2 linked regions of the Rattus norvegicus genome follow. The main gene of each other region encodes a partner of the protein of the gene in region 2 in a complex. Each region holds a gene or a part of one and is shown on either strand. Other genes may lie near its edges. The genes, in order: Unc13a and Rims2.

Region 1 (9,683 bases), on a different chromosome or scaffold from region 2:
AGTCCCATTTAATAGATGAGGAAAAGGAAGCCCAGAGAAGTCACACGTTACAGGAGTGAACCCTGAGTTATACCCCAAGAGGAGAATGGTCGGGAACTGTCAGGGAGGTGCGTGTTCCTTGCCTGCCCAGCCTTGTTGGGGCCTCAGGACCCCTGAAGGGTCGGTAAGATGGAGGGGAGGGTGAGATGGTAACTTCTGTTCCCAGTCCTTTTCTCCCAGATGCAACTCTGGCTGCCTGTGATAGTCTGAGCTACATGCTCCCTCCCATGGCCTCAGTTTCCCTTCCAGAGAATGAACCAATGTGTTGCCATTCTTGGCACCGGCTCCTCCAGGCCTGGCTTCCTACTGCAGTGTGCTGTGTGTCTTCAGGCCAGTGCACTGACCTCTCTGAGCCTGTCTTCTTTCCTTCCCATTCCCCTGTGCTGTGCACACAGTGAGATCAACCGCCTGGATCTGGGCCTGACGGTGGAGGTGTGGAACAAGGGTCTCATCTGGGACACAATGGTGGGTACTGTGTGGATCCCACTTCGGACCATCCGTCAGTCCAATGAGGTGAGTGACAGGTGGAGAAGAGAGCCTGGCAGAGGCCCAGGGGCTTGTGGTCTAAAGAAGGTGAGGCCTGCTCACCCCCATCCCCCACCAACATGCTCAGTTGGGGCTACCACCTAGTGATTTAAAGTGGACACCAGAGAATCCCATCAGGGCTGTATTGTCAGTTAAGGGCCTAACCTGCTCTTTCCTGGCCCTGTGGGTCCAGGGGTTTTCCTCAGAAGCCAGGCTGATGCTTTTACTCCTGGGGACTAACAGCACCTAGGGTGGCCCATGCTTTGACAAGGCGCCAGAGCATACTTGTCATTTAATCAGTAAATAACTGAAGGAAGGAAGGGAGGAAACGCAGCAGCAGCCATGAGAGCCAGAGCCAGAAGTAGCATGAAGGGGACCCAGGATGTTCTCAGTGGCCCAGCATGATGGCAGCCCAAGCCCCAAGGGAGTGGTCGATATTCTCCACAGAAGATTGTCATTGTAGGAGTAGTAAAGAAATTGAGGGTCAGATGGACCCCAGTTGTCCACAGTGCTTGTGTTATGGAGCAGTGGGGGGGGGGGCAGCGGCGGTCTCACTCCCTTGGGCAGCTTCCTCAGGGTGGCCAGGAACTGGGGCTACTGTCGGGAGCCACAACTGTAAAGTCTCTCACCTGGGAAGTGGGGTCTAACCTTTGCTGTCAGGTGAGCGGGAGCAGGTAGGGAGGCTACCTCAAGAGAGGCTGGTGTGCAGCCAGTATTTGGACCCTGCCCTTCCCTGGGGCCCTGAGCCCTATCCTTTGCCTTCACTCATGCCCAGGAGGGTCCGGGAGAATGGCTGACACTGGACTCTCAGGCCATCATGGCAGACAGTGAGATCTGTGGGACCAAGGACCCCACCTTCCACCGCATCCTCCTGGACGCACATTTTGAGCTGCCTTTGGGTGAGTCACAGGGTTTGGCCAGACCCAAGGTCACAGTGCCCACTTTGAGGACTGAGCTGGGGAGGCCATGGCCTTCAAAGTCTTCACAATCCCTGCCGGAGCCCCTGGCCTCCTGCCCCCCTCCACCTCCATCCATCCCTGGGGTTCCCCAGGCTGCTCCCCACATCTCTGAACCTGGTCCCAAGGGAGGGAGGCCAGCTCTCCCAAGAGCCCGGGACATGGAGGCTTTGCTTGCAGACATCCCCGAGGAGGAGGCGCGCTACTGGGCCAAGAAGCTGGAGCAGCTGAATGCCATGCGTGACCAAGATGAGGTGAGTCCCCTCGAGGTGAGCTTCCTGATCCAACCTCTCCAGGGACACAGGGAGACGTGAAATGTCCCATCTTCCCTGCCAGCCCAGCCTTTGGCCGCTCTCCCCTCTCCCTTCTGTGCTCAGAGTGTCCCAACACACAGCTCAGACCCATGTGGTGTTCACGGGGTGGGGGGAGGGACCCAGTAAAGGGCTGCTTGGCTACCGCCCGCGCCTCTTTGGTCGCCTTCTGTTTCTCTGTCTGCTCTGTGGCTTCCTAAAGTCGAATGTATTGGGCTTACCAGAGGGAGCCGTGTTCACTGTCCCTGACACACCGTCCCCTTCACAGTACTCCTTTCAGGACCAGCAGGACAAGCCACTGCCGGTGCCCAGCAGCCAGTGCTGTGAGTGCCGCCCGCTCCGCTCCACTCCATCCAGCAGCCCAGTCTGGTGTGCGACTCCTGCTTTGCTGTATCCCAGCAGCTGCCTGGATGGCCTAAGAAAGTGACAGCCAGGGCCAAGCCAGGCATGGAGTCCAGGGCTGAGGGACCCCGTCCCATTCCATCAGCCACCACTGTCCCAGGGACACTGGCTCCTGTGTGACTCAGCCTCACCAGAACTCCTGGGCTCCAGCCATCCTCCTGCCTCGGGTTTCTGAGCAGTAGTGAGCCACTGCAGAGCCAGGCTGCACTGCTCCTGTCAATCACTGAAGTGGCTCTCAGCCCAGCCTGGTCTAGCCTGGTTGGGGGGCCCAAGAGCCTGTGAGATACTGTCTCAGATCCTCAGGCCCTCAGGCTGCCGGAGGGGGAGGCACACCCCCTGTGGGGTTCTGTTTGTTTGTTTGGTGGTTTGTCTTTTGTTTTGTTTTGCTTTTTAAAATTCCTATGCTGGAAATGATAAGGGGACTTGGGAAAGTGCTGCCCTGGGGGGACGGTCAGAAGCCTGCCTGCCTTTTGAGGGGCCCCCCGGGTGGGGGTTGGGGTGAAGAGGGTGGCTGAGGCTCATTGTGCCTGTTCCTTCCTAGGCAACTGGAATTACTTTGGCTGGGGAGAACAGAGTAAGTAACAAGCTCTCAGGGAAGTGGGCATCTTAGGAACCCCAAGGCTCCTCACCCCCACATCCATGTCTCTGTCCCCCTGCTGATCTGGAAGTGGCCCCATGTCACGCAGATGCTCCCTCAGTGGGGCCTGGTCATCAACAGCAGTCAGGGCCATGTCCCAGTTTCCTAAGCCATCTGACCCTTGTCGACCCTAAGGCTAGCCCAACATACACAAGGCCCTCAGTTCTGGTGCCGGCTGTGGAAAGCAGAGAGACTGTTAAAGCCCCAGTCTGGCTGAAGGGGTTGCTGAGTCAAAGGGAAGCTAGTGGAGCCCAAAGCAGATGATTCTCTCAAAACCAAAGTAGTAGGTTGTTGGGTCAAAAACCGCATGTTGGGGCAGGTGGGATGGCTCAGTGGGTAAAGGTTAGCTCATCTGAGTTCCATCTCAGACGCCCACAGGAGAAGCCGATTCCTTCAATATTTCCTCTGGCTTCCATACACATGCTGTTCCACATGTGCCCCCACAACGTATTCATGTAATATTTTTTTTTCGAGGCAGGGTTTTTCTGTGTAGCCCGGGTTGTTCTGGAACTTACTGTGTATAGACTAGTCTGGCCTCAAACACACAGAGATCCACCTGCCTCTAATTCACAAGTGCTGGGATTAAAGGCATGCGCCACCATGTCCGGCACAATATCATAATTTTATAAACAATTGATAGAAAGCACAGAACTCCAATCGGGTTGGCTTTTCTGTACTTAGCTTTAGTACACACAGGTGCTGCGGTGAGCGGTGAGCACAGCAAACGGTCCTGATTGACATCTGTTCAGCGGCCGCCAGAGGGCGCCAAAGGGCGTGCTCTGCTAGGAAGTGAGCGCGAGAGGCTCCTGGAGATCCGAGTCTCCTTCACAGCACTGGCCTCATCTCAGACAGTGGATCCTCATCCTCTCAGGTGGCACAGCTGGGTCACCGTCCTCCCAGGCCCCACAGCTGGCACACCGGAAGCTTCCCTTCTGTCCTCCCTCCTGCTAGAGCCTCTGTCAGTGCTGCGGTAGCAGAGGATGAAGACACCCCAGAGGGAGGCCGGTTTAGACCCACTGTGTGCTCTCCCGTCCTCACCCTTCCTCTTCCTCCTCTTCCCTGCAGATGATGATCCCGACAGTGCCGTGGATGACCGGGACAGTGATTATAGGAGTGAGACGAGCAACAGCATCCCACCGCCTTACTACACGACTTCGCAGCCCAATGCTTCGGTGCACCAGTACTCCGTGCGGCCACCCCCTCTGGGGTCCCGGGAGTCCTACAGCGACTCCATGCACAGCTATGAAGAGTTCTCTGAGCCGCGGGCACTCAGGTGGCTGTGGGACTGGGGCGTGGCCGGGAATGCACGGGCCCATCTCACAGAACATTTCTATTTGCATTTTAAAATTACACTTATTTTGGTTTTTTTTTTGGGGGGGTACGTGTTTTATGATGTGTGTTAGGGAATCAGACAACAACTTGTTGGCTTTTCACCGCTGCTTTGTGGGTCCCAGGCTTTGAATTCGGGTCACCAGGCTTGGTGGCAAGCACTTATACCCACTGAGCCCTGTGCTAGTCCTTGGCACTTTCTTGTAGCATCCAGAGCCTTTTCTAGTTATATAGGGAGTTTCAGGCTAGCCTGGGCTACACGAGGCCCTATCTCAAAAAACAAAAACAAAAACAAAAAACAAACAAAACCAAGGCCTAGCTGCCAGCTCCCGTCCTGTGTACAAGCTCCCTTTAAATGTCCTGGCTCCACGTGCTTCCTGCCCTTACCTACCGTGGCAATGACAGGTACCACTCCTGGTTCATGCCATGCTGGGGATGGAAACCAAGGCTTCACATATGCTACCCAGGCCCTGTGCCAACTGAGCGGCAAGTACTCTCACATTCCACTGGTGGTGGCAATCTCTGGGCGGGACAGATGGTGAGACAGGGTACGAGCCCCCTAAGCTTGGCTGCTGGGAGGCTGTGCAGGCCTAAGGAGCAGCGACGGACTCAAGGCAGAGTCTGTGTGCTGAGGCCACCACCCTGATCCCCACGTTGCCTGTTGTAGCCAATGCTGGCTCATGCAGCTGCAAAGAACATGAGTGGACCAGGACCTGCTATGGGGTCAGTTGAGGACAGGGACATCATGGAGGGCGTTCTGGAGCACGATGCTGGGATCTCCCCATCAAAGGTGAAGTAAGGTTTCCATCAAGGGTCAGGGACCCTGGCAGGGAGTCGAGGGGCCAGGGGATTCATTGGAATGGATTCAGACTCAGCCTGTGGAAGCCAGTAGGGAAGAATCTTGGTATAGCCAATTCCTACCCTTAGTGAGCAGGAGCAGTGGACTCCAGCCATGCCCCTCTCTGCCAGCTCAGGCCTTCGGTGCAGTTGAAACCTCACCACTAGGGGGTGTGTGCGCATGGCCCCTGGCTGACATCAGAATGACTGTAGTAACACATCCAACTGACAGTCAAGGTGGTTTGGCTATGGGCAGGCACAGGTTATGTATGGGATAATCTAGGTTGAACGTTAGGAGCTTATAATGGATGGCTGGACGTGGCAGCATGTCAGGGGCTGCAGGGAAAGGGGAGTGGGTGCTCAGGCTGGGATTGTCCAGATGGCTGAAGCTGCACCCGTAAGCGTCTGTGCATCTCAGCTAAGCCAGTGCTTCTCGATGCCAGGACAGCAGCATGTACCCAATAGGGGCTCAATTCGTGCCAAGTAAGTGCCTGGCTCGAGTGCCCCAGGTTCCTGCCGTCTTGAGCAGCAACACAAACACCTGGGCTGCTGAATCCACGATAAGCAAACGTGTGGCTGATAGGTGGGCCTGTGCTCCTGGGGCAGAGAAGGAGGAGTCCCTGGTAGGTGCTCAATCCACTCATTTCGTGGGCTTACAGGCCTGGGTCCTGGTCTCACACCTTTGTTCCTGGTCTATTGAGCAGGAGTGAGCACACAGTAGGCACTCTGGCTTTGCTGAGCACACCCCTGGGTGATGGTGTGTGTGTGTGTGCGTGTATGTGTGTGTGTATGTGTGTGTGTGTATGGTGTGTATGTGGAGTGTGGGGGGGATGGTGTGTGTGTATGGTGTATATGTGGAGTGTGGGGGGAATGGTGTGTGGGGGATGGTGTGGGGGGGATGGTGTGTGTGTGTGGGATGGTGTGTGTGTTGAGGGATGGTGTGTGGGGGTGGTGTGTGTGGGGGGATGGTGTGTGTGGGATGGTGTGTGTGTGTGTGGGATGGTGTGTGTGTGTGAGATGGTGTGTGTGTGTGGGATGGTGTGGGGGTGTGTGGGGGGGGATGGTGTGTGTGGGATGGTGTGTGTGTGGGGGATGGTGTGTGTGTAGGGAATGGTGTGTGTGTGTGGGATGGTGTGTATGGGGGTGGTGTGTGGGATGGTGTGTGTGTGGGGGGGAAGGTGTGTGTGTGGGATGGTGTGTGTGTGGGATGGTGTGTATGGGGGTGGTGTGTGGGATGGTGTGTGTGTGGCGGGGGATGGTGTGTGTGGAATGGTGGGGGGGATGGTGTGGGGAGATCGTGTGTGGGGCATAGTGTTTGTGGGATGGTGTGTGTGTAGGGAATGGTGTGTGTGTGTGTGGGATGGTGTGTATGGGGGTGGTGTGTGGGATGGTGTGTGTGTGTGGGGGATAGTGTGTGTGTAATGGTGGGGGGATGGTGTGGGGAGATCATGTGTGGGGCATAGTGTTTGTGGGATGGTGTGTGTGGGATGGTGTGTGTGTGGGGGGGATGGTGTGTGTGTGTGAGATGGTGTGTGTGTGTGTGTGGGATGGTGTGTGTGTGTGTGGGATGGTGTGTGTGTAGGGAATGGTGTGTGTGTGTGGGATGGTGTGTATGGGGGTGGTGTGTGGGATGGTGTGTGTGGGGGGATGGTGTGTGTGTAATGGTGGGGGGATGGTGTGGGGAGATCGTGTGTGGGGCATAGTGTTTGTGGGATGGTGTGTATGGGATGGTGTGTGTGTAGGGAATGGTGTGTGTGGGGGGGATGATGTGGGGGTGTGTGTGGGGGGGATGGTGGGGGGATGGTGTGTGTGTGTGGGACAGTGGGTAGCCAAGGTCTGACTGTTTCTCTACAGCCCCACAGGCAGCAGCCGCTATGCTTCCAGTGGGGAGCTGAGCCAGGGCAGCTCCCAGCTGAGTGAGGACTTCGACCCGGATGAGCACAGCCTACAGGGCTCAGAGCTGGATGACGAGAGGGACCGAGATTCTTATCACTCCTGCCACAGCTCTGTGAGCTACCACAAGGACTCACCCCGCTGGGACCAGGATGAGGAGGACCTGGAGGACCTGGAGGACCTGGAAGATGAGGAGTTGCCCGAGGAAGAGGAGTTGGAAGAGGAGGAGTTGGAGGAGGAGGAGGAGTTGGAGGAAGAGGAATTGGAGTTGGAGGAGGAGGAGGAGGTGCCTGATGACCTGGCCAGCTATACCCAGCAGGAGGACACCACTGTGGCTGAGCCCAAAGAGTTCAAGCGGATCAGCTTCCCAACAGCTGCACCTCAGAAGGAAGACAAAGTTTCAGCTGTGCCCATTGAGGCCCCCGATGTGTCCAAAGGCATCCCCAAGGCAGCCACACCTGAAGAGAAGGCAGCTGCGGAGTGTGCACAGGAAGCAGAGCCCCCCAAGTCTGAGGAGAGGTATCCGGAGGAACTGAGGTGCAGGGCACTAGTCAGAGAGCTCTGTGGGCCTCTGAGAGCAGCACGTTGTGTGGGCAGAGTTGGAGCGGGAAGCTGGGATCCCACAGAGCCGTTCTAAGCCTCTGCCTGCCTTCCCTGGCTTAGTTTCAGATCTCGAGAGGCTGAGGAGGGCCAGGAAGGGCAGGATGCCATGTCCAGGGCCAAAGCCAACTGGTTGCGAGCCTTCAACAAGGTGCGCATGCAGCTGCAGGAGGTGAGTGACACAGCCAGTCCACGCCCACTCCTGTCTATGGCCACCATGGAGGCCATGCCCACCGTGTAGGCCACGCCCACCAAGACCTGTCCATCAGCCCATATACCGCCCTTAAGACCCCTCCTCCTCAACAATATCATGCTCATCATTCCACCCATACCCAAAAAACATGCTCACCACCCAAACACAGTCAGCAGGCCACGCCCATCCACACCCACCCACTACCCACAACACACAGCTCTAGAGCCCCTTTGTAGACAGATGTGAGGGCCCCTACTTCAACTCTCCTGGCCCTGTTGGGATGCTCTGGCTCCACGTGCTAGCCCCATGGAAGCTGGACTTTTCCAAATCTGTAGTAATCACACTTGGAGGCCTGAGACTGGAGAAGCCGTGTAAGGGGTCAATCTTGCAGGTAAAGGCAGAGGTCAGGACAGCAGTGAGAGGTCAGAGGTCAGTGTTAGAATTGGTGTTCTGCAGGAAGAGTGACAGGGTGAAGTTGGAGGTCGAAGTGAGTCTTCTGAAGGCTCCTTACCTCAGCTGGGCACAGAACTGTGTTGATATCCAGGTGACCATCCCACCTGGGCAGGAGCACCAGGAAGCTTAGGTCATCCGATGTCACACCATGGACATTCCAAACCAGGTTCCTTATGCACTTAAGAGTAGGAATTAAAGGACTGGAGAGATTGCTCAGCAGTTAAGAGAACTGGCTGCTCTTACAGAGGACCCCGGGTTTGTTTCCCAGCAACCACGGGGCAGCTCAGAACTGTCTGTAACTCCAGATCCAAAGGACCCGACATCCTCTTCCAGCCTCTGTGCGCGCCTGACGCACATACATGATGCACAGACACAAATGCAGACAAAGCATCCATACACATAAAAATAATCATAATAAAACATTTAGGGGCTGGAGAGATGGCTCAGTGGTTAAGAGCATTGACTGCGCTTCCAGAGGTCCTGAGTTCAAATCCCAGCAACCACATGGTGGCTCACAACCATCTGTAATGAGATCTGATGCCATCTTCTGGTGTCTGAAGACAGCTGCAGTCTTCTTCTTCTTCTTCTTCTTCTTCTTCTTCTTCTTCTTCTTCTTCTTCTTCTTCTTCTTCTTCTTCTTCTCCTCCTCCTCCTCCTCCTCCTCCTCCTCCTCCTCCTCCTCCTCCTCTTCCTCCTCCTCCTCCTCCTCCTCCTCCTTCTTTTTTAAAGGTCTGTTTATTTATTTTATGAGTACATTGTCACTGTCTTCAACACACAAGGAGAGGATTCCATTACAGATGGTTGTGAGCCACCATGTGGTTGCTGGGATTTGAACTCAGGACCTCTGGAAGAGCAGTCAGTGCTCTTAACCACTGAGCCATCTCTCCAGCCCTACAGTGTACTTCTATATAATAAATATAATAAATAAATCTTAAAAAAACATTTAAGTTGAGAGAGAGAGAGAGAGAGAGAGAGAGAGAGAGAGAGAGAGAGAGTCCAACAAGACTGAACAGGGAAAATGATGTCAAGTGTTCAGGATTAAGACGTTTGATTGGCAGGGAGGCTCTCTGCCTGTTTTACAGGCTAGGGTCCAGAAAGTCCAGGGGTACAGAGAGATGTAGGACCTGGATTTCCTGATTCCTCACCCGTGTGGGAGACAGAAGGGGGGCAGAGCTTGCCTCAGGGATAGAGGGGTGACCAGTGTGTCTGTTTTCTGTCTGTCCTGCAGGCCCGAGGAGAAGGAGAGATGTCCAAGTCTCTGTGGTTCAAAGGCGGGTGAGCAGAACTCTGGGTTAGGGGGGATTTTTAAAACGGGAGATCAAGGTTGGTTTACATCTGTTGCTCAGACAAGGGATGGGGTGTTAAGAGGATTCTATATTGAGAGGAGAAAATAGTTTGTTGTTATTTATTTATTGTTTATTTTTTGAGACGAGATTTCTCTGTGTATCTCTGACTGTCCTGGAACTCATTCTGTAGATCAGAGTGGTTTCCAACCCACAAAGCTCTGC
Region 2 (10,303 bases):
GAAAAGTAGAGAGTTTCTCTCTTCAAGGCAGAACACAACAGAAAGTCTAAACTCCTTCCTTGCCTTGAACTTCATCAATAAGAAAACTTGTGACCTACTTTTTCTGGTAGTCAATAAGACCTCATTTCAGGCAGGATCTGCTCTGTTACCAAAGGGAGCACTGAAGAATCTGAATGAGCAGGCAGTGCCCCTCCCAGTCTACTTAGCATTCGATAATCCCCTTTCCTAATCACATCTTGACGATGTAGCTGCCCCCACTTCACTGATGCCTCTCCTGTTAAGTTTCATAGAAACCATGAGAGGCAGTTTAGAGAGATCCTAGGTAGCTGAACTTGTTGCTGAAGGGTGGTGGGCGAAGAGAGTATATAGAAGCTACAATTCCTTCTGTATTGTTTCCTGTGTTTCTCTGCCAACAGCCTTTGTAATAAACCAGCACACCTGAGTTCTGTGAGCTGCGGAGGAGGGGTTTGTGGGAACTCTGATCTACAGCCGAAGCACAGCTAAAGCAATCTGGTATCTAAAGTGCCATCACATGTATAGGCACGGAGCCCTCGATCTGGGGGATCTGGGACTCCAGATGGTGTTAGGGAAGAACACCACTGGTGTCCACTGCTGCAGAACTGATTGCTGGCTTGCTGCTAGGGAGAAATCTGCATGCATTTTGCAATCATGGATGCAATTTGTATTTGAACAGAATAGGAGAAACAGTTTACATCTTAGCTCATTTCTCTTTATCTTCGAAAACCACCACGCCTGAGCTTTAGTTGGAGTGTGCAACAGTACTGGGTTCAGTGCTGTGCCTGTGTCTGTGTGTTACGCGGTGGTGCAAGCTTACTGCTGCTGGCTTCACTTTTAATAATGTGTGCCTCAGTTTCCTCGTAGTGTATGGTGGGTGTTGATAGTATTCCTCGCAGAGTGCTCTTTACCTGTGTAGTGATTTATGGAGACTTTGACGGGGTAAAGATTTATCATTAAGTGATTTATAAATGTTAGCTACTCTCTTACTAGTATGGGCACTGCAAGAGGGTAGTGATTCCTGTCAATTTCTGTTTGTCAATTACTGTATCCTTAGTGATGGCAGCATGTCTGGCATGTGATATGCACTCAACAAATACTTACTGGATGAATGTTTTGTCAGCCTTGTCATCTGTGAAGTAAAAACACTGAGAGTAACTACCTCATGCTGTTCTCTTAAGTTGGTAGTGTATCTGAAGAACATAAATTGAGCTGTCACCATCATATATTACTATGCTCAAAGGGACATAGCTAAGATTGGTGTATCCAAATATTTGTCCCTCCTCTGAAGCCCCAGTCTAACTTCTTTTCCTGGCATCTGACTTTGATCTTTAAGTATTTTCCTCCATTCATGCCACAGGTCAAATCTTATCACCATGTTTTAGCTTAGTTAGTAGTTTTTCTTACTTCCATGGGCAGATTCAATGTCAAATGCCATTATAAATCTTACTGCATAAATAAGGAAACTGTTGACCTCTTCATCTCTCTTAGTTTTTTTCCTCTTATCTTATTTAAATATATTTTTACCTCTTTAATTTTCTAAAGTTCTGGATGGGCCAGTTGCTAAAGTGTAACATTTGTTCTTCACTTTCAAAATCTGCCAAGTGAAAACTAAAAGTACCTTTGAAACATGAACTTTTCAAGGTGTACACCTAATTTGTACCATAGTGACATAATGTTAAGAATGAGAAAAAAAGATTGCTTATTTCAGACCTTATGGTTAGGCCATATGGATTGTTATGTTTTATAAGGAAAACATGTATTTAACATAGTCATGTAGATAAAATAAGCAGTCTGACTTTAAGGTTGGGTTGTCAGCATTTATTTTCATGAATAAATGTACAGTATAATTATAATGGAGGTTGTCAGCTTTGTTCCCTGTCTTTCTGTCCCCTTAGTTTTATTACATGAACACACAAAGCATCTGTGGCATGGTATACAGGGACTAACCTAGAGCCAGTCTGTGTGGGCACAGACCTGCCCTGCCATAGAGTGGATGTACTTAACACTGTGGAGTTTCTTTCAGCACATCTGCCAGGAAACACTCGGTCAGGATTGATGTAATAATTGATATATTAGAGTGAGGTGGTTTTATAAACTGTAAAATATTTATTTGTATTTATCAAATGGCATACTATACTAGTATATGCAAAACATATCTGTTTATCTTTCCTTCAGAATGATGATTTCCATGTTTTCTGGTAGAGTTTTTCAGGATTTTATTTTTGGAAGGCAATCAATTACATCGTGACTCTTAATCTTTAATGTTTGGATGAATAAGAGAATTAAAAATAAAGTGGGATCCTGGGTTATAATATTCTAGACATATATTTCTTTCTGTGTAATGAAATATAGTGACTCAACATATAAGAAGTAAATCCAAAAATATGTACAGTGCGTAGTTATACATAGTAAACTGCATATGCATGTACTAACCATGCAGCTACACATGCTAAACACATATTCATGTACTATGTGTACTACTCATATCTTAGATTTGGACAGTTTCCAGTTTTTGCTGGCAGTTTTTTTCTATAGTTTTAAGTTGATTGAGGTGACAGTAGATATGTCTAAAAAGAATAGGGAATAATGCTTCAACTTGTTAAAAATGTATCAACCACCCACATATGTTGGCACACCGCTATTTCCTGTACTCAGGAGACCAAGCAGCAAGATGGTAAGTTTGAGGCCACTCTGGGCTGCATAGTGAGTCCCATCTCAAAAACAAAATGCAAATAGTGCTAAATATACATCTTTATGTGAAGCTAGAAATATTTTTGAAAACTAGTGAACATAGGACTAATGAAGTGGAATTGAAGTTTCCTCAGTAATTACAGATCATTCTTTCAATTGCCAGGTGAGAGTAGAATCGCCTGGTCACATTGTGAGCCACCTCCTTATGTGTCACATTGTGAGCCACCTCCCTATGTGTCAGTTTCCATCTTTAAAATGCTGATCAAGAGCCTAGTGACGTAGAAGTTACGTCATCTAATTTCCAGCACTCACATCAGGTGGCTCACAACCCCAGCTCTAGGGAGACTCTCACATCTCTGGCTCCTGGCTCCGAGAGCACCAACACTCACATGCACACACGTGTACACACACCATAAACATTTTAAAATAAGTAAATTGTTGATCAAGTGCTAGTCAATTGTTTTCAGAACTCATGGCTAGAAGTTCAAAAAACATCAGAGACGTTAAATAAATCCTTTCTGTTTCTGTGAGTTTGTGATATTTTCCTTTATTCCTATAATAAAATTTTTATTTAATAGTAAAAAGCTTCCATTCTGTCAATAAAAGTGAGTTATTTGCAGATTTCTATGGTTTTAATAGTGGGAAAGTGAATACTGAAAGGGAACTGGATTGGAGCTGTGTGAATGTTAATGAGAAAGGATGAATCTCTCTCTCTCTGGAAAACAGGAAACTTGATCTAAATAACAGTACCTTTTGTCGCAATGGTAGGGTTTTGTGTGGAAAGTTTTGGAAGTTTTAGAAAGAAGTGAGAGAACTGTTCTTTGTATGCATTTCTCTCATTCTTTCTGAACTGTCACTTGTGGCACATCCTGTTTTAAGTCCCTTCTCATGTGCTCCCGGCCTGGCTTCAGCTATTCTGTGGTCCACATCAGACAACACCTTCAGGGGCTTCTTTCTACTTGCAAACCTCTTCTCACCTGTCAGCTGGGCACTGTGACCTCGGACCCTTTCTAACTTGTCCCTCATCCAGGCCCCTGGCCTCTATTGCATTACTGTTCCTGTTAATGTCTGCCTTCTAGAGTGTGATTGTAACTTCTCCCCTGTGTGGGGAGTTTTAGCTGCTCAGTTCACTGTTGTATTGTGAGCATCTACAGATACATGGTATTCATTAGGATCTTAGAGAACTGAGCCTGAATAGTGAATCCCCCAGTACTACCATACTTAAAAAACATGTGTACATTCGTGTGTGTGTGTGTGTGTGTGTGTGTGTGTGTGTGAACTTAGGATACTCCCCTGACTCCTAGTAAAACAGCAGAGACAGAGTTTTACTTGCAGAATCGTGTGGTAACTTTGCTTATCGGCTGTTTTTGATATGTCTGTGTTGCTTCCAAATTTATGCTAGGATGTAACACAATGTACATCACTGTAATGTTACACTTGATAGGGTTATTTTTAGCAACAAGAGGCAGGTGATTGCTTTATGTAGAGAAAGAAGGAATTCATTCCCAGAATGAATGCTAACTTTATGGACCTCGTTGTATGTTTTCCCTTGCTGGTGCCTCAGTTGTCTGTTTAAAGAGATCTTCTGTTGACTGTTTACCATTACTTCAAACGAAAGGGTTAATGTAGGTTTTCATACGATCTGGACAAAATCTGGTTATGACTTGAAGACAGTGTCTCTTACCTAAATCCGAGGAGTGTGAACAGCTGCTGAAAAGAAACTACTATGGGAAAGTTTTACCAGGAATTTTGCCCATATATTATCACTCTGAGAGGTCTAACTCATTCCACCCAATTAGTCACAGTGCCCGGAAGGCACTGGCCATGCCAAAGGAGACAGCAGCGGCTACAACCTAGACCCCAGGCCAGAGCCTGAGGTGCGCCCTGGCACCAGCGCTACGGTGCCGCCCCCTCCAGCCTCCGATTGGCGGAGGCTCAGCATCAGCAGCATCTCGGGGCGAGGGAGGACGCCCGGGCTAGCGGCTCCGGCGTCCTGGATCCTCTGCTCCCCTGGGTGACACTTCAGACTTCCACCGTGAACAGCTGCTTCTCTTGACGGCTTTCCTCCTGATCCTTCCCCAGCAAAGCCAAGGTCCCAGCCACGGGCCGGGGAAGCAGGGACCGGAACCCACCCGGCCCCGACCGCAGCGGTCTCCGCTCAACAGCCGCCAAAACGCCTCGTATCTTGTACCGCGGGAAAAGCGGGTCCTCCTCCAAGATGGGCCGGCAGGGCCTGGGGGGCACGGGTGCTGCGGGGCGCTCCATGCAGCGCTCTCAGAGCCGGAGCAGCCTCTCCGCCTCCTTTGAGGCTCTAGCTGGCTATTTTCCTTGTATGAACTCCCTGGAAGAAGATGAAGGAGGTGAGGACCCATGTTCGTTCCCACCCTTCCTGGGCTGAGTGTCTGTTGTAGATCACTTGGGTTCCGTGGTGGGAGAGTTGGTCTCAGGTGAGAACTCCAAGTAGCTTCTGCTGCCCGAACTGTGCCTAAGAGACCCCTAGAGCACCTGGCGGAGAAACACTGTTAGTGGGTTGTTCACGGAGCTCCACAGGCTCTCCTGGGAAATAGTTGTCCTAGTAAGGAGTTAGAATTATGGATCACTTGGAAGTGGAATGAGCATGTAGACTGGGTGGGAGTTAGGTTGAGCCTCCTATGTACCCCCTATCCGTTTGCTTTTGTTTACTTCTTAAGTCCACAGTCTCTTTGTCAGCATAATCTGGAGGACAGAAATGCTGGGAAAGCTGAGGACCGCTGCAGTAAAACTTTATGTGCCCCGGCCTTTGACAGCCACTATCTAGATGCGCTGGACAGGTGGAAGGTGGACGCTAAAGGCGCGTTTACACTGTATTAGCTCGGAACTTTGTTTACCAGCTGCGCAGTGTGATTCTGATTGTCCGTGCTGTTCAACGATGCCTGTGTAAGTGAAGGGAAATACTGGCCCTGTTAAACTTTTCACTGAGAGATTCGCAGGCCTTCATAAAGTTTTGAATACCAGATCCTGTTTTTCCTTGATGAAGAACTCATAAAATTTTGCAACCAACACTGAAAATTTGTAAATTAATGTAAATAATGTAGAAACAGTGTTCTTTGCAAACTGTGTCCATCCTTAGGCCTATACCCAGAGGAGCTTAGTTATCTTGTTAACACTATTTATACAATTAATTAAGATGTGCTTTTCTTTTATTCTGTGACAATGACTTCTCACTAGAAATTTGCCTAGCCTTATTTTAGGAGAAGTTAATTACCTGCTTTAAGAACAGATAGAAATAAATTTTCCCATATTTGCTCTGGTGAGGGAGTGAGTGACAAAGTGGCCACAGGACAATTAATGATATGGTCAGTCTTCAGACTGAATCCCTGTAACTCTCCAAGTTTTCTCTGGCTGTTGTTGCAATGTTAACTTCCTGTAAATAAAGACTCATATAAATACAGATATAACAATAAGATAACTTACTATTTAGACATAACTTTTCATTTTTATATTCTTGTTTGTGTTTTATACATTTACTTTTGACTACTTTCCTATAATAATTTATTAGAAATTCTAGGAAATGTCTAAAAGTCAAACAGTTAAAAGCAATCAAAATGAATAACTGGACCCCCATAATTGTAGCTAGTTTTTAGAATCCCTTACTAGCCAGGCACTGCTTAGGTCCTACAGTGTGTAGCCTTGAGGGCCCATAACTTTATTAGCCCTGTTTCACAAATGAGGATACTGAGGCAAAAAGAAATTCCAAGACTTCCTTAGACAGTTGTCACTGTAGCCAGCACTTGAAGTCTGGAGTCACAATCACTGCTGTGTACTCGAGATGCTTTACTATGCACACTCACCAACCTAGTAGGTAGTGACGCTGCTACAATCGAAGTTAGGCATGCCTGTGAACACATATAGTTAAATAAAATATAGACTGGTGCAGATTTATTTCTAAGCATGTTTAATGCCAAGTCCTCAATATCGAGTTTACTTTATAGAAACTAGTTCCATTCTTAAGTTATTATTAGGATTTAGGGGTTTACAAAATACCATCCTAAAAGCATTTTTTTGAGATAGTAGGAAAAGCTTAAACAAAATGTGATGATTTTTCAAAATTGAAAGTACACTGTGTCTCATACATGCAAATGCGAAAAGGAAGTGTCTGCATATACACATGAGAAATGGGAACAGGTTTCTGTGCCATAATATTGCTTCTTGAGTTGCCAATACAAAATGTTGCACAAGGAAGGTAGCATTTTTAAATGTTCCCTATATGTCTCTCCTTGTAACAAGAAAGCTCTCCACAAATGGATTCTTCTCTGGCTTGGTGTCAACTTAAAGCCAAGAGAAATGGATCTAAACTTCCCCCTGGTTTCCCAGCACTCCTTTCCCCTTTCAGCATCCCCCCCACCCCCCAGAGGTCTGTGAGACTCAGAACCCTGGTCCAGAGCAGGGCTTCTTCGCAGTGTTTTTTCTTTTAAGACACCCGTGCAGAACACATAAAGTTTGTGAAGCTTGGAAGCATTATTATAGTCATAACTGTGAGACCTGGTCCACCTCACAAGAAAGGGAAATCCTTATTTAATGGGTATGGTGGTCTGCTAATCACTGTGATTGACTAAATTATCAGATGCATGTCAAAGCTAGCAATGCCCTTCTCTTACTACTTAGGATTTAAAGAAGGGTCCCCTGAGAGTGTGTAAATGCTGATTTGGGTATCAGTAACATGAGTTTCTAACCATCTCATAAAACAGCATCCTGCACATACTTGAAAACTGTTTCTCCAGACTCCTCCCCTAGTAAAGAATAGAGTTACGATCTAAACCCATAAGGTGGGTCAGAGTTTACACTGTTGACTAAAGTGTTTACACTGTTGACTTCATAACAATTGTATCTCCTTGTAGGAGTCTATGGTCTTGAAAACTAAGCACAATAATAATAATTGCCATTAACTGTGCAGCTTCTCTGTATTCCTTTCTTTTATTTCATGGAAGTTCTTCAGGGGGTCATTTTCGTTGTTTTACTGTAGAGAAAATATACAAGTTAAACCCATTGCTTACAGGTAACGTATCTCAGTGTGACTGACTTGAGTCTGCACTGAAAGGATGTCTCTGTAAGCAGAGTGAGTTAATTCACTATATAGACTGGTCCTTGTTTCATCTTTTCTGCATACTTTGTGAGTTTGTTTTTTCATCCTTTCCCCTGGGTGTATTCCAGAAAGATGGTCTCCCTATCCATGGGGTTATTTTACATAAAACTGATGGCAATCCTACTTTTCCTGTTATTTAACAATTTATAAATTGCATTCACTTATTTAGCATTGATCCCTATTTGAACAAGTATATTTTCACTATGTAATATATTTGGTTCTAACACTGACTCTTCCTGATACAGACCATTAGTATGTATAGGATATTTGAATATTTCAGGTACTTACAAGAATGTGGGACTATTTTAAGGCAACATTTCCTTTTGTAATTATAGAAACAACTCTTCAGCTTTCCACCTATTGAGTCCAAGAAAAAAATGTTTGGGTGGCAAAGTTGCTAATGGTTGAGGGACTCCCAAAGGCCATCTACATGTCCCATGTGGTTCTAAGCTCATGGGTCTCCCAAAGGCCATCTACATGTCCCATGTGGTTCTAAGCTCATGGGTCTTGTTTAGTTACACATATACTATGTGAAAATTTTACTTCCCCAAAAGTTCACCTAGCCACCTCTGATTGAAATATAATTTGGCAACCATACACAATTTACTAACTAAGTAAATTAGCACTCAATTCTTTCTGCATGCCTGCCAGTTGAAAATTAAATTATAAGAAAATCAACAAGGGGCTGGAGTGATACCTCAGTAGTTAAGAGCACTGACTGCTCTCCCAGACGTCATGAGTTCAATTCCCAGCAACCACATGATGGCCCACAACCATCTGTAATGGGATCAGATGCCCTCTTCTGGTGTGTCTGAAGACAGCTACAGTGTACTTACATACAGACAATAAATAAAATCTTAAACAAAAAAAAACAGCAAATGAAAGTAGCTTAAAAACACTAAAAATCTGAGGGAAAATTATCTGCATGTCATCGTGAGGCTGTGAAGGGTTGTTGACGTAAAAGGATCCATTTAGGTAGTCAGAATGGTGCAAGCTTAAAATTCCCAGTCTACATTTGAGGCCACCAGGAGCTATACAGAACCCATCTCAGCAACAAAAGGATTCTGTAGACAAACACACATTTTTAAGAGACCACTCATTTAGTAGGATGTGAATCTTGGTGTGGAGTTACTTAAGTCTTAGAAACCGTGCTATTTGATTGCAGATAGACCTTCACCTTTGTTCTGTTGAGGTAAGATGTTTCCATGAATGTCGGTACAGCATTGCTATGTGCAGAAACAGGTGTAGCTACTCATGCTGACTAACGGAATGGTGCTGTTCTTTACAAACTGAATGCCAGTAAAACTAACTCTCCCTGTACAGTGTTTGGTCATGGTATTAATACATCCTCCACAGCCAACTGGCCAAGAGAGAGCGGTATAGGCCATTGTGGATTTTTTTATAGAGATAATTTTCTCGAATTATGATTTTATATGAAAAATCATTTTATTAAATGAGTACATACACATTTAGGAATGACACAATTTGTATATTAGATTTGTACTTAAGACAAAGTAAAGTAAGATATTTTGGAATTAAAAGCAAATGAACAGCTTCAGCTCAGATTTAACCTAAGAATCAGCATCTTTCATTATCTTAGGTCCATGGTGCACTTACAGCAGTGGTTCTCAACACTTTATTACAGTCCGTCATGTTTTGTGACCCCCAACCATAAAATTATTTTCATTGCTACTTCATGACTGTAATTTTACTACTGTTCATGGATTGTAATATAAATATCTGTATTTTCCAATGGTCTGAGGTGACCTCTGTGAGACTGCTATTTGACCTCCACAACCCACAGCTTGAGAACCACTGCCTTAAAGTAATTGAAAACTTTAATGTGGAAGTCAGATCAGACCCCTGTTTTCCCTCATACTTTACTAGATTCGTTAAATTCTAAGCCAGCAATAGGACCAAGTTTCCCTGTGGAGTTATTCTGTATACAATGGCTTACAGAAGAAGCTGACTAGTAAGGTCTTGTGATGGCCTCCCATCACCACTGAGGCCTACACCCACACATGAAAATGCTCTCTGCTGCGATGCTCTAGGCCATTAGAGCAGTGGAAGAAGATCATTCTGTCTTTGTTCTACCTCAGGTTGTCCGGTTGTTGATAGGAAGGACGGAGATCTACCTACTGCTATATATTTATTTATAAGGTGAAGGATATTTGAGGAAAATGCCAATGTAAAATAATAGTTTCAGTTCTAGCCTTGAAATGTTGCTCTATTTCAAATCTGGAAATGAGGTTTCTTTTCAATGTGAATAATGTTTTCGCAGAGGTTTTTCACCAAATCTATGAACAGAGTCATCTAGGTCCCACATGGATCTAAAGGAAATCAGGAGAACCCTCTTCCTGTCTTGCAGTCACTCCTACTTCACATGGCTGCTTCTGGTTTTCTCTTTCTTTTCTTTTCTTTTTTTCTCTTTTTTCCCCGCTCATTCTTTGTCCTATCTCCCTGAGCACACGT

The links.
Region 1: the proteins of Rims2 (region 2) and Unc13a are in contact, whole or in part, in a crystal structure (PDB 2CJS), measured with the Rattus norvegicus proteins. Residues at the interface, in XP_063118965.1 of Rattus norvegicus: Asp102, Gly103, Cys104, Ser109, Gln112, Val123, Leu125, Ser127, Asn128, Lys129, Val134, Met135, Trp136; in NP_074052.2 of Rattus norvegicus: Tyr23, Ile36, Trp65, Leu69, Ile70, Trp71, Asp72, Thr73, Met74.

What each region holds. Positions count from the first base shown.
Region 1 is NC_086034.1:18,398,123-18,407,805, reverse strand, and holds part of Unc13a (protein unc-13 homolog A), read left to right. Parts: intron 1-434; coding exon 435-552; intron 553-1,339; coding exon 1,340-1,463; intron 1,464-1,700; coding exon 1,701-1,774; intron 1,775-2,099; coding exon 2,100-2,154; intron 2,155-2,774; coding exon 2,775-2,807; intron 2,808-3,935; coding exon 3,936-4,143; intron 4,144-4,866; exon of another isoform or gene 4,867-4,966; coding exon of another isoform or gene 4,967-4,989; intron 4,990-6,890; coding exon 6,891-7,448; intron 7,449-7,592; coding exon 7,593-7,701; intron 7,702-9,403; coding exon 9,404-9,450; intron 9,451-9,683. UniProt on the Homo sapiens protein: Plays a role in vesicle maturation during exocytosis as a target of the diacylglycerol second messenger pathway.
Region 2 is NC_086025.1:72,602,544-72,612,846, forward strand, and holds the start of Rims2 (regulating synaptic membrane exocytosis protein 2), read left to right. Parts: upstream 1-4,744; 5' UTR 4,745-4,927; coding exon 4,928-5,069; intron 5,070-9,252; exon of another isoform or gene 9,253-10,303. UniProt on the Homo sapiens protein: Rab effector involved in exocytosis. May act as scaffold protein. Plays a role in dendrite formation by melanocytes.